Notamacropus eugenii: one gene and its partner. The main gene of each other region encodes a partner of the protein of the gene in region 2 in a complex. Links are inferred from orthologs where the notes say so. Each region holds a gene or a part of one and is shown on either strand. Other genes may lie near its edges.

Region 1 (7,078 bases), on a different chromosome or scaffold from region 2:
ATTTTGGGTTGGGGGTGGGGGTAGGGATGAATTAGTGTGAGAAGGGAACTTCTACTTCTCTTAGTCCTGCTAGTCTGCTGTTCTTGGGCATCTTAGCTGTTCAGGCCCTTTCAGCTAGCTGTTCCTCCAAGTGGAGTCAGGAGGGGTTAGGAGAAAATGCCAATACTTAGTCCTCTATTGTGGGAAGGGGTTTAGTTCCCTAATCTTGGAGGGCACTCACTCTACCGAATCAGGCCCAGACTCAGCTTGCTTCAGCAACCAACTACCTTCCTCACTTGGTGCTCCCAGTGTGCCCCCATGACTCCCCTTTTTGTGGCCAGCCCAGGGGATACGCGGTGAGCACTGCTGTCTTGCACAGGAAGAAGGCAGGTATGTTGTATTGTTCGAACATTAGCTCTGTGAGTTTTTCTCTTTTGGCTCGAGTGTTCCACTATGGGAGGGAGGGGAGAGAGGATAAGGAGGGGTTTAGGTTGGATATAAATAAGCTAACAAGCACACACACACAGGCTTATGTACTAATATGCACACATACGCATGTACCCAAATGAACATGTTCATAAACACTCACACTTAGAGTGCAGAGAGGCTAGGGACCAGGCCAACTAACACAATGCAAAATGATCTTTACTATCAAACCTCCTCCCTACCCCCAGTGAATGAATACTATCCCCATTCAGAGAGATATGGGAGAGGGGTGTATAAATGTGAAAATGAGGAACACTTGTGGAGAGGGTAGGGAGAGAAATGATAATTGGAGGAAAGGGGAGATAGGGTTCAGTTTTGATGAAGATTTTGAGGGGGAGAGAGATGGGGTGGCTAATTGAGATCCCAAGGCTGGGGTCAAATGTAGAAATAAGGTGATTGATGAAGGATTCTAGGGTAGGCTGGTTAAGATAGAGGACAAACTCCAGAGGCAAGGGGACCCAGAGCTGGGAGTACGTACCGGGGCCTCAGACATGAGTACAGGGTGCAGATTTGGCTCCGATTTGACATGTTTGCTGTAAGTGTGATCCAGAATGGCCCGGAAACACTCCCAGTCCTCAACTGGGCACCAGGAGGGGAGGAGGAGACAGAGGGATGGGAGAGGAAGGGTGGTGAGAGAGGAAGAGACAGATATGTGGGGAAGGGAAACAGAGAGAAGAGGGAGACAGGATGATAGTGAAGAGAGGAAAATCAGGAAGAGGAACACAGAAGAAGTTTCAGAGAGAAGGGAGAAAAGGATAGAGAAAAAGAAAGATATAGAAAGAAATACAGAGAGAAAGAGTGAGAGACAGGCAGACAGATGTTTCAGGGGAAGACAGTAAATGAAATGAAGAAAGAAATAAAGACAGGAGTATATGTCAGGGTGTGTGAGAAAAAGAAAGAGACAAACACGTGTAGGCAGGAGAGGTGAGGACAGGAGGGAAGAGAAAAATGGGGTGGGGGTAGACCTGAGTAGAAAAGTCAGACCCCTTTCCCTACTCTAGGGACCTAGGAAGTGAGTATGGTTGAAGCTGAGGGAGGGGAGGCAGAGAGGACATAAGAGAAACTGGGTAGCCCTGGGACCTGGTGAGGGGAGGTCCTGATCAGTTTTGGAACAACTGGCTGTGTCTGGGGTGGGGGTTGGTGAGGGGCATACTGTGGTCATAATGAATGGGACAGGGGCAAGGGCTGCAGCAGTAGTGTTCCCAGGAATGGATATTGGGGTTTCCCTTACTCATGCCATTCTTGAGGGGTGACATGACCTCAGCCCCATCCCGTGGCACATGCAGGGCATTGGTGTCGATGTGGAATGTTTTCCCCTTCTTCTCCTTCTCTCCATCCAGCTCTAGCCCACCCCCCTCCTCCAGCGTCAGCAACCCTACAGTAGTGGGGAAGTCAGCCTAGGGGGAGGAAGGGAGAGCAGATTACAGTCACCTTTTCTTTTCTCCACATTACTTTATATCCCCAAACAACCCCATCCCAATTACCACATGCCTTTGTTCTTGCCAAACCCATCCCCTTCCCAGGGCTCACATCACTATTCTACTGAACCCATATTAACACTTTCCCAAACTATCAGGAGCCTTCTTTTAACTCCTTCAGGGTGTTTATGTATGAAGGAAGGGGGTGGGTTCTGGGAACCAAGAGGGAGAGAAGTAGGACCGATGTAGACTTTAGGAAAGTTGGGAAGGGGAGCTGGAAGGCTCACCTTGGGGCAGTCCTCCCCAGCATACCCTGCTCGAACTGAGAAGGAACCTATGTCAAAAACCAGGGCTCCAACTTCATCTGTGTGTGTGTCCAAGGGGAGAGAGGAGGAGGGGGAGGAGATTGCAAGTCAGAGCAGAGGGGCTTTCCCTCCCTCAAACCCCACCTCAGAAGACCCAGAGAGAGATGAAGTCGGGGTGTGGAGACTCTCCCCCCTCCCATAAACTCCACCTAAGGGAGACCAGGTGGACATGAGGTCAGAGGGGAGGGAGGAGTCTTCTCCACAAGCCAAAACTCAGATGGGCATTTTGGCCATGGGATCATTTATGGGATCTGAGGGAACAGTAGGAACATAGACACGTTAGGGAGATTTGTGGAATGCTGGACATGGAGGGGGCAATTATATATGCAGAGGTGGGGAGGTGGGAGCTCCTAGCATCCACAAGATCTGAGGTTCTGGGTTGGGGTGAGGGACTGCCTGAGAGAAGAGTATAACAGCCTGTCAGTGAGCTGCTAATAAGGGAGCAGCAGGAGCGCTGAGGGCCTTAAGGAAGGTGAGGAACGCTTGACGAATGCTGGCCATGGGACATTTGCCCTGCAGGTATAAACCAGCTAGGAGCTACCAGGAATGGAGGACTGGGGCTGCAGGAACTGGACCCCCCAGGCTAGGGGTGCGGTGTGAAATGACCTGGCTTGAAGGCCGGGGTCTCGGGGCTATCTCACCTCCTCCGTAGACACCTCCGCTCATGGTGGCTGCTTCCACTCCGGCTCCAGTTCCTGCGGTGGTTCCAGGCCGAGGACCCAAAGCTGCAGCAGCGGGATCAGCACCGAGATAGCCGGACAGCTCCAGGGACCCAGGAGGTGGGGAGAGGGTGCTTAAGGACCGGCCAATCAGAATACCGGATCCCCCACCCCCACTCACGCTTTCAATTGGTGGGGAGCGCAGACAATAACCTAGGCCGGCGCCTCGGTCTTAAAGGGCCAAGTGCCTCCAGGAATTTCTGAAGGGGAGGGGGAGGGGATAAGAGGGTCGAGGCGGGGGTGGGCTATGAAAAAGGGAGAGGAAGGTGGGAAAGCCCCTCTATCCTGAGATCTAGGCCCCGAGGTGAGAGTGGCGTGTGTGGTCTTTGTCCTAGGCTAGGTCTCCTGGAGGACTGAGCCTGGAGTCTAACGAGCCAACGTGGTCCTAAGACAGGCTCAGGAGAAAACGAAGGCCACAGGGTGAGAGAGAACGCCCGGAAACTGAGAAGGAAAAGAGAGAGGGAGAGAAGGGAGGAATCAGCGTGGAAGGATGGAAGAATCTTCTCTTTCTCTGTATTTAACCTTTAACTTGGTGACTCAACCTTTTGTGTGTGTCTCAGAATGATGTTTTTAAATGCATAAAACACATAGAATTACAAAGGAAACCAGTTTTATTAAAATAGTGTGCATATATATGTGTGTGTATATATATGTATATGGATGTGAGCATAAACACATACTATATATGTGTGTGTGTGTATTATATGTATATGTATATGTGTGTGAGCATACATACAAAATTCAGAGACTCCAAGGCCAAGAATTCCTGCAACTGAATTCAGGTCTGTTCCTCTTTTTGGTTTGGGCTTTTTTGAGCCTTTTCGAAACTATGAAGATCTCTCCTTGTTTGGCTCAGGAGATGATTTATAAAGTGAAAATCAAGTGGATAGCTCAAGTGATTCATCTTAGAATCTTGATTTGGCTCCTCACTCTCCACTCCTCAAAGCACACTGAATTTGGTGCGGATGCTGGAGCACTGGAGGTGGTGTTTCAATAAGAAACCTATAGAAAGAAAATTTTAGGGGATTTAGGGGAAATATGTCTTTAAATATTTGAAGATTTGTCATGTAGAATAGGGATTAGACATATTCTTGGACTCAAAGGACTTTAAAGATCTAGAGCTAAAAGTGACCTTAAAAGTCATTGAGTCCAACCATCTCATTTTGAAGATGCTGAAAGTTCAGTGACTTGCACAGTGTGATAAAGTTGGTGAGTGAGGTGTGCAGTTCCATCCTGGGTTTTCCTAACTGCAAGTCCACTCCTCTCTTTTCTACTCTATGGGAGCAATAGGAAGGGGGAGGCAGGGAGAAAAGAAAAAGACAGACACAGAAATACAGAGAGAGAAGCACAGGTATATTTTATCTAAGTATAAATGAGACACTAGCTTCAATAACTCCTTCAGTAGAAACCCCAATAATGTTACTGGATTAAAAGGCAATGGAATCTTGTGAGTGACAGTTGAATAAGCAGTGTCTTAGGAGATTTAGAGTTTAACTGTTCTGTAGGAGACTTAAGAGTTTAACTGTTCTGGAGAAGCTGTTAACTGTGTTGAATGAAGAAATGACAAAAGAAAACATTTCTTGAGAGAGCTAAATTTAATCCTTCTAAAAAATAAAAAATATTTTAATTGGCCACTAGGTAGCGCAGTGGCGCTGGGCTTGGAGTCAAGACCTGAGTTCAAATGCAACCTCAGGCATTTATTAGCTGTCTGACCCTGGGCAAATCACTTAACCTCTATTGGCCTCAGTTTCCACACCTATCAAATGAAAATAACTCTTTTTTGAAAGGTTGTCATGAGGATCAAATGAGATACTATTTATAAAGAGCTTAGTGCTAGTCGCCTGGCACATACTTGGCATTTAGTATTTGTTTTCTACCTTTCTAACTAATCTGGATCTAGAGATAGTTGCAAATTGGGATTATCATCCTAAAACTGAGAAGTATGCAGCTGTAGAGATCCTCAAAGACGAATTGGAATATGAACTTTTTGACAGCTGACAGTTTAAATATTTGTATCTTTGTTTTACTGTTTTGTACCCTGTTAAAATAACCAGCAACCTCAATGTTAAGCCTAGGTAGGGAGGAGAGATAAAATAAATAAAAAATAAGCAACAATCATGGAAAATGGGTTTCTTAAGTTTATTCAAAAAGGAAAAAAATAATTTTTTTTAACAATTAGAGCTACTAATCACTAGAGTTCATCAGACAAAGACTGAATGACCATTTGTTGAATACACTGTAGAGGGAATTTCTGTTCAGGATAAGGGTTGACTAATTTACGTCTAAGAGACTGGGATTCTAGAATGAGTCTGCTGTCAGCAAAGAATTATATGGGTATATCGAATTTATTATAGGTTCTTGGGGATTTTTTTTTAAAGAGATAGAAGGTAAAAGGAGGAAAGAGAGAATGGGATTAGATTGGATGTTCTAAGGTCCCTTCCAGGTGATGTCTTATTGACTTTAGGCAGTTTTCTCTTTTAAAATATACGCTGTGTGTGAAGTGAGATTATTTTGTTCTTTTTATTAGTATACATTTCTTTAGCTAGCCAAATTTATGTTAAATAATTTTTTAAAATTTATTTATAGTGTCTAGCTCAGAGCCTGGTACATTCTAAGGATAGAGCCTGGACCAATGATTTTATTTGTAGAGAGTTCCAGGGTGAGGGGATTCTTCAGTCAATGCAGGTTGGTACCTTCTTTGCAATTTATAGTCTTGGAGAGTTGCCTAGAGTGGTGTGAAACTCAAAATAGAAATCATATATAAGGATCTTTGCAGGGTGCATACTGACTTAGAAAACTACATATTAATATAATTTATGTTCTATTGTATTTTTATTTATTTTGATATTTCCCAAGTACAGTTTAATTTGGCATGGGGTCAGTCCTGCATTGCAGGGTCATATGTGACTGGCAAACTCCAAGTTTGATATTTCTGGTCCAGAGTCAGTTAAGAGAAGTCAGGACTGAACCCAGGTCTTCCTGATTTTGAGGCTGGCTCTTTCTCCACTATGCCACACTGCTCATAAAAGGCACTTAATAAATGCTTCCTGAGTTTGTTTCCTAGGCCCTGGTACATGCATTTTTATATGTGTAGCTGTGTATTCACTTAAACTGGCAGGACTTGTCCATGAGGAGGAATTAGGCAGAATTTGTTCATTCAATATTCATTACATAAATATTTCTCAAATACCTAGCCTATTTTGTGCCACGAATTGCTGGTGATACCAAAACAAAAGAATGAAACTATCTCCTGGACCTCAAGGAGTTTACATTCTATTGGGAGAAAATAGCATGTACCAAAAAAAAAAAAAAATACAAAAAATATATGTAAATTTGAGGTTCATGGATTTACTCAATCAAGCCTCCTCACCTTATAATAAGGTATGCCCTGATGCCTTAATGAGGTAAGAATAAGTTTCAAAGGAGGAACCCATCTGTCCTTGAATACTAAGTGTTCAGATAGTCCTTACACTATCCTCAGACAAATTATCAATTGCGTTGAGAACTGGCACTATTCCAGAGATTGGAGCAAGTGTGACTTTCAGTAACACTTCCTAAGAAGAAACTGCTTGGGGCGGGGAAAGTTACAAAAGGTTTCCAATCTTACTTTGGCCTAAGTCTCTCCTTCCTCCTTAAAAAATATGGAGAATCAAGAGGATTTGGACCTTCCCATCTCCCTGTCATCATTCAAGTCAAGCAAAAACTGGACAAATATTCACTTTGCTATGGAAGAACTTGTTGAGCACCACATGAAAGGGAAAAAGATCTTCCAACAATCAAGAGCCATAACTTACCACTTTGCCACATGTGCTAAACTTGGGCCAATTCACCCCTGGTGTCTCCCACCAGTTTGTCAGACTGAGGTGGGGGTGGGGGAAGAGGATGCTTTGTACCAACTCTCCTTATGGTACTACCTTACTGAATACCCTCTCTGAAAACTACCACATAATCATGATAAGAACACACCAGAATGAGGCTTGGTACCAACAGCATTAAGGAAAGGTGTTCTCCAACCCCTCAGTGGTACCTCTAGAACCAGGTAAGGATTTAGGAACCATTTGCTGAGGACCTGGCTAGTTAGGACAAGAAGGCACTGGGCACCTTTTTTGGG
Region 2 (7,057 bases):
AGAAGGGGCAGATACCAGGAAGATCATCTCAGGGACTACTGTAATAATCTAGGAATAAGGCAGTATTAATTAATCATTCTAGAAATTATTAATCTAGGAACAATCTAGGAATAACAGTTATGACAGGGATAGTGGCAATAGAAATATATGTTAGAGCAAAAAAAAACATTTTGAAAAAAGGATCAATAAGATTCAGTCATTTGAGTGGATATTGAAGGTGAAGGACAGGGAAGTAAAAAAAATTACTCCTAGTCTTCCTTTGCCATGATTCTTCATCAACCAAAGTCCAATATATTTTTCACCCTGACTCCCTTTGTTTGCTTTTCTAGTGATTCTTTCCCTGCTCTTTCTCCCCCCTCCCCAGAACCCCTGTGAGAGCCTCCGGGGCCATCCTGCTGGGATGACATATGCCGCCAACATCCTACCTCACCATCCGACCCGAGGCACCTTTGAGGACTTTACCTGCTGAGCCCTGCCAGCCGTCATACCAAAGGCCTGGGAGGGAAGAGGAGGGCAAGGAAAACCTGGGAGATCAAGCTGCTCACCTGCCCTGGGGCTTATCACTGCCCCTCCCACTTCAAGGGCAGCTCCCAACTCCCTTCAAAGTCCTTCCCTCCTAGAACTGGTGGAAGGGGGTTCTGAGTCCAGTGCCCTTCTCTACTCCCTTGCCCTCCATGTCCATACATTTTTATTTTTAACAAAACAAATAACAACAGAAATAAACTACAAAGAGAAAGGGCAAGGGACCCCAGGCTGTCCCTCTATGCCCTGTGCTGCCTCCCCCTGCTCCTAGCCTGACCTATGTCTGTTTGAACATCCATTCTCATCCTGCTTTCACCATTCACTGAAGCTCTTCCAGCAGGGACGACATGAGTGGAAAGACTCCATAGGGGTCTTGAACTGGGCCCCAGACACAGAATGTACCTTAGGAGGGAGGGCTAATGGGGGAGGAGGGCTTCCCTAGCCTTAAGAGACCCTTTCAGTAGTGTCCCTACCCTCCAGTTTTAAATCACAAGGGCAGGAACTGAGGCCCCTGGCCCTCTCTCCCTTACACTTATTGGGTGCCCTTCAGAGGTCAAGGAATAGATGGTGTTCCCTGAGGGACTTGGGACAGGATGAGGCACAGGTTTCATGCCAACATTGGTCCTGGTCCTACCCCAAAATCAGAGAAATTTTTGAATGGGATCCCTCACCCTCATTCCATGAAAAAAGATGTAGACACTTGATTCCCAACTCAGGGAGAGGGGAACTGGCACCTATTTCTCTCCTAACTCCCAGTTCCTCCCTCCAAGGGTCCCTTGCATGGGGCCACATCCATAAATTTTCTTATGGAACTTCCCCAAGTCTTTGTCCTCTATTCCATCTGTTTCTTTCTATGACTTCATCTGCATTTTCTATTTCTATATGATACAGACTCTATATTGCTATAACTGTATATACTCCCTTCCTTACGCCTCTATCTGTCTGCCCTTCCCATCCCCATCCCCTGTGTCTCTAAGTCCCATCCCTACTTCCTCCCAAATCTCCTTCTGTCTCTCTTACCAACCTACTACCAATCCCTCTGAATGCCTTCACCTGTATAAAGTGTTGGACTCTCTCCTCCGGTGTCTGTACTGTGTACACACATCCCCCTGAGAAGCACAAGGAGACGACGTACGCATTGTAACTCTCTCACTGTCTTGGACATAAAGGAAGCTGTGAATCATAAGCTCTGCCTCTTTCTGGCCTGCCCCCCAACCTACCTATGCTTTGAGCACTCTCTGCCCTCCCTGTAGCCTTAAGGCCTCTTCCTTCCTTTCCATCAGTCCCATTATCCCCCTTCTGACTAGGACTTTCCTCCTGGGGGAAGGGGTGGACACAGAGAATTGGCACTTAGCTCAGAGGATAGATATTCCCTCTTGGCCCCAAATCAGGGTGAATTATAGATGATGGAATCCCTGGAGCATGGAGATAAGGTGTCAGGGACAGCGTAAGGGTGGGAAACAACCCATAGTTTCTAAAGGTAGCCACTGAAAAATATATAGGTGGCTAGAAGATAGTGTCTAAGGCCCTCATCCCCAAGGCTATGTCGGCTAGGGTCAAATTCTCCCCATTACTGACTACCCATCCTCTCTTACCTGGGGTCCAAGCCTGTACCTCCATTGCTCAGATTTTAGGGACAAGGCTGGACTTCATAATGAGATAGGACTAGAGGAAGCGTTGGGAGCTCATGCTGTTACACTATCTCCCCATCCTCCCCCTGAGAAATAAGATGAAAATAGAGGTTTGCACCTTCCAATTCATCTTTCTCTATCTCAGATGGTCCAGAAATATCCCTTCCATCCTAAGGCCCTCTTGCTTAGAGCTCCCTGGGGGAAGGCCCCAGCCAACATAGCCTCTGATGATGAGGATGAGGCCACTGACATAATTCTAGGAGATACTTGTTCTCCCCTCTCCATCCCTGTGCTGGGGGAGTGGTAGGGATTTCGGAGGAAGACATTGCTGGGAGTCTATAAATACCTGGTTCCTGGTTGTCACTTGGACAGAGAGCAGACCTCCCTGTAGAGAAACAGGAGGAAGTATGCTCTAAGCAGCTGCGGTGACAGCCAGCAGGATGGTGGGTGAGACACTCCTCTGGTCTAATAAACTGGGTTTCAACCATCTCCCCTCACAGTGTTGTTTTTAATTGTTCATTCGCTGGTTCAACAAGTATGTGTGGAACACCACTTGGCACTGGGTTCAAGGCTTAGAACCCTGCTGGACTTGGCACCAGAGTGCCAGGGGCGGACAAGAACCCCGAGAGGGCCTGGATGGTCATTTTTAGACCAAAGATCTTTATTCTTTTGAGCTAGGACTGCCTAACAGAGGACCAACAGTGGGCTTGAGTTTCAGGCGGGGGAAAGAGGGGGTACAAGGAGAGTCCCCATGGCAATGGGCAAGGTAGTTCGGGTCTAAGGTACGCAGTAGTATCTACGTGAACTTTTATACGCTTTACAAAAGAAAGCTTTACGAATTCTCTCCCTGGAGCGTCACAGTACCTGTAATACCCTAAGTCGCGAGTGCCCACCTCCCCATTTTACAGGAAATTGAGGTCCATCTGCCCAGGGTCATACAGCTCATTAGTCTGAGGTCCGACTACGTCATGCCTAGGACCAGTAAAACTTGGGGGTAGGGCAGATCCAAAGGTGAGGAGGGTGACTCCACCCCGACACTCCCGTTTCCTAGCCGGGTGCCCGCGGGCACATCACGGACGCGCTCCGGGAGGTTCCCAAAGCGCCCGGGCGGCCTCGGCCAAGTAGACCCCCGGGGCCCGGAGCCGGGCAGACCCTGCTTCAGATCCTGTCCCAGCCGGGCGCCCCGGGGCGAGTTCACTTCGCCTGCCTGCCTCAGGGTCCTCCTCTGTACAACGGGGGTAAATAATAGCCCCCACCTCCTCGGGATCGTTGCGAGGATAAACAAACCCACGGCGCCTGCAAAGCTCCTTTCGAACCATGGAGCGCGGTACCGAGCCGAGCCAGCCGAGTTACGGAGCCTGCTTCCGTGTGTGCCGTACGGGCGATCGAGAGCCTCCCCCGCCGCCTTGGCAGGAAGAAATGAGACAACCCGAGGGCAGCAAAGCGCTTCTTAAGCAGCGAGCGCAGCTACACCCGGCGCTGCCCGGGCCCGGCCCCGCCGGCCGGCCCAGCCTGGCCGGGGTAGCTGGTGCCAGGTGCGCGCCGCGCTCGGGACCGGAGACTCGGCGCCTGGCCGCCCTCCGGCCGGCAGGGGGCGCGGCTCAGGGGCGCTCTCCCCCGCAGCTCCTTCTCGCTGGTTTCTCCGCCTAGGGCCAGCGGGCCAGGAGGAGGGGACCGCCCGCCTCGCCTTTTCCACCACTCCCTTCTAGCCCGCAGTCTCGTTGCCCGAAGCCACCCCTTCCCTATCCCGGGCAAGCTCCGGAGGTCTGGGGGTGGGAGGGGGGGTAGCTGAGGGGGAAGGGAGAGTGGCCGAGAGAGGGGGGAGTTCCGGTTCCGGTTCTTTGTGCGGCGGCGGCAGCGGCTCCGGGGGAAGATGGCGGCCCGGGCTGGTTTCCAGTCAGTGGCTCCGAGCGGCGGCGCCGGAGCTGCGTCAGGGGCGGGCGCGGCGGCCGCCCTGGGCCCGGGTGGGACCCCGGGGCCCCCGGTGCGAATGGGCCCGGCGCCCGGCCAGGGGCTCTACCGCTCTCCGATGCCCGGAGCAGCCTATCCGGTGAGTGGGGGCGGGGAAGAGGGGGGCAGGAGGAGGGGCGCGCGGGAGGGGGGCGGGCCCTGCGGGTGAGTGGCAGAAGGGGCTGGGCCGGGGGTGCCCGGAGGCGGCCGGAACCGGGGAGAAGGGGAGGGCGAGAGGATGGAGATGGAGCTGGCCGTGGCCCGGCGGCTTGGGGAGAGGAGCGAGCTGCAGAGCCAGGCGCCTCCGGTCCGGCCGCATCCCTCCCGGTGTGCGCTTAGGGAGGCCGGACCGCGGGAGCAGGTTCGGCGGAGGTCCTGGGTTCAAATGCGGCCGCCGCTTGACGTCCGCGTGCTCTGGGGCCAGTTCACCCAGCCCTTGTGGCCTCGGCTTCCAGGTCCCTAAAGTAAAGGCGCCCCTTCGTCCTAGGGTTAATGTCCTACGTACAGCTTGCAGCTTCTGCATTCAGATTTGGGAGATGGGCCAAGGTGACCTCCCAGGTCCGGTCCAACTCTGGTTCTGGCTCTGTTTCTTTGGAAGGGTACGGAGTTAGGTTATAGAGGAGAGGCTGAAGAGGGAGTTCTGATCTACGGAAGATTAAGAACTCCACGGTGTCCTGATAACCATTGAAGGCATAGTTGTCAAAGAGATAGCGACTAGAAAAGAAGAACCCCAAAGGAACAGGAGGCTTAAGGGAAAGAGGAAATCCCAGAACAGCAAGGAAGCGTGTTTATGCATTAGAGGAGATGGGGCGGGCTAGATGACATTTTACCTTGGTCTCGTCCTTTGGTCCTTTCTTCTACTTTGGGCTGGTCCGCCTTCTCAGGAGCCAGGATCCTGGGTAAAGGAAGCTCCAGTTAGCCCACATTCATACAAGGTTCTAGGGTTCTCCCATTTTCCCCATACCTTTCCCTGAGGTAACACAATATTCTTTCTAACATCCCACAGCTCGGGACAGCTATAACATCTCTGTGTTGTGTCTCACCTACAGCGTCCAGGCATGTTGCCAGGGAGCCGTATGACACCTCAGGGACCTTCTATGGGACCTCCTGGCTATGGGGGGAATCCTTCAGTTCGACCTGGTCTGGCCCAGTCAGGAATAGATCAGTCCCGAAAGAGACCAGCTCCTCAACAGATCCAACAGGTCCAGCAGCAGGCGGTCCAGAATCGAAATCACAAGTAAGACACTTCTGGGAAGGGTAAAAGCAATTCTATGGAGACATAGCAGCTGAAACTGGGGAGTGTGTCTATAAACCTATGTGACTCATGAAACTACCTTATCTGAGTTTACCATGGGTTGGGGGGATTTTTCTCTGGTCTGAAAGAAACTTTTCAGTCCCTGGGCACCCCTTTTCCTCTTTCTCATGCATTCATATGAGGATGCCGCCCTCCCCATTTTCAGATTCTGGTCAGTTCCATCCCAGCCTAATACCAATGTTTATTCTGAACAGTGCAAAGAAAAAGAAGATGGCTGACAAAATTCTACCTCAAAGGGTGAGTCTAGCACGCCTTCCCCATGTCCTGAGTCTCCCCTAGGGCCCCTATAGTACCCGTGAGTTTGAAAGCAAATTTTATATACCTGACTATATCTTGCTCCCCTTTAGATTCGTGAGCTGGTACCAGAATCCCAGGCCTACATGGACCTCTTGGCTTTTGAAAGGAAACTGGATCAAACCATTATGAGGAAACGGCTAGATATCCAGGAGGCCTTGAAACGACCCATCAAGGTACAGGAAACTCCTCGGCAGAGACCCAAGAAAGAGGGATTCAGGATCCATCAGCAGTCTAAGAAATTGAAAGTTCACTGTAGATCTCCCAGACGTATTTAAATTTCCCCTTTTCCCTAATAGCTAATTTTATTAGAAGTACCAGAATAGAAAAAGGAGAAGAGGGCCCACTGTTTCACCAGAAATCTTTGTACTTTTGATGTCACTGTTGTAATTGAGTCCTCTACCCAGGAACCCAGTTGGCACTGTGAATATCCTCGTTTGTCTTGCATCCTTATTTATGCACTGTGGGCTGGTTGCCCATTCATTTCTCCTAGTTGGAATCTCTACCCTCCCCAAGGGACTGGGCAGACAGCAATTTGTTCTGGTAGAATTAAATGGTTAGGGCACAGTATTGTTTCCAAAGCTCTATACTAATCTTTGTTTCTACCCCCTCCAGCAAAAACGGAAACTTCGTATTTTCATTTCGAATACTTTCAATCCAGCTAAATCAGATGCTGAAGATGGGGAAGGAACTGTGGCTTCCTGGGAGCTTCGAGTGGAAGGAAGGCTCCTTGAGGATGTGAGTGTGATGTTCACACTGGTAGGGACTGGGGGTGGGGGCATCTAGAGAAGAGCAATGTCTTTCTGGTCTGGAGGGACCCTGAACGGTGCTCACAACTCCTTTCCAGAGCAGCAGGGAGAGGGACGTTCGGCTCCTTGCGTTGGAAGACAATGGCTCTTTGTGTGCAGCTCCCACAGCTTTGGCCTTCACTGCCATATCGTGTTGAGAACACTATTGTCCTGTGATCTGATTTGCTGTTCACTTCCCCCCTCGGCTCGTTCTGGCCATTAATGGTTTCCCAGGTTTCTGCTGATTACCTTGGTTTGGGCTTATTTATCAAGTGAGTTTGCAGGTTTTTCCCCCATATGGCATTTCAAGCCATGACTTCCTGTCTGAATCCTTAAGATCCTTAATTCCCATTGTGTGATCTCCCTTCTCTCTGCTGTTGCTGAGAACAAATCATGATTTAGAACAGGCAGATTTCTCTGACATGCTATTCATTATTTCATGCTGAGTGTCAACGGGGGGGTTGTGAGCCCCTAGACCTCCCACCCCCACTTGCTCCTCGGGGAAGCTTATTTTTTCCTCATTACCTTCCATTGTTTACCCCTTAGCCTGTTTTCAG

Evidence for each region. Proteins that work in one complex are often made in the same cells at the same time.
Region 1: SMARCD1 (region 2) and ACTL6B share a complex: the UniProt entries of both Homo sapiens proteins name them as parts of the BAF complex. The link is inferred for Notamacropus eugenii from reciprocal best matches to the Homo sapiens genes SMARCD1 and ACTL6B.

The regions. Positions count from the first base shown.
Region 1 is NC_092873.1:80,136,392-80,143,469, reverse strand, and holds the start of ACTL6B (actin-like protein 6B), read right to left. Parts: upstream 3,024-7,078; 5' UTR 2,915-3,023; coding exon 2,890-2,914; intron 2,248-2,889; coding exon 2,171-2,247; intron 1,863-2,170; coding exon 1,697-1,862; intron 1,045-1,696; coding exon 944-1,044; intron 431-943; coding exon 333-430; intron 1-332. UniProt on the Homo sapiens protein: Involved in transcriptional activation and repression of select genes by chromatin remodeling (alteration of DNA-nucleosome topology).
Region 2 is NC_092874.1:222,199,543-222,206,599, forward strand, and holds the start of SMARCD1 (SWI/SNF-related matrix-associated actin-dependent regulator of chromatin subfamily D member 1), read left to right. Parts: upstream 1-3,975; 5' UTR 3,976-4,026; coding exon 4,027-4,203; intron 4,204-4,315; exon of another isoform or gene 4,316-4,341; coding exon of another isoform or gene 4,342-4,464; intron 4,465-5,152; coding exon 5,153-5,340; intron 5,341-5,612; coding exon 5,613-5,655; intron 5,656-5,765; coding exon 5,766-5,888; intron 5,889-6,327; coding exon 6,328-6,450; intron 6,451-7,057. Other genes in the region: ASIC1 (acid-sensing ion channel 1), read left to right, coding at 365-469. UniProt on the Homo sapiens protein: Involved in transcriptional activation and repression of select genes by chromatin remodeling (alteration of DNA-nucleosome topology).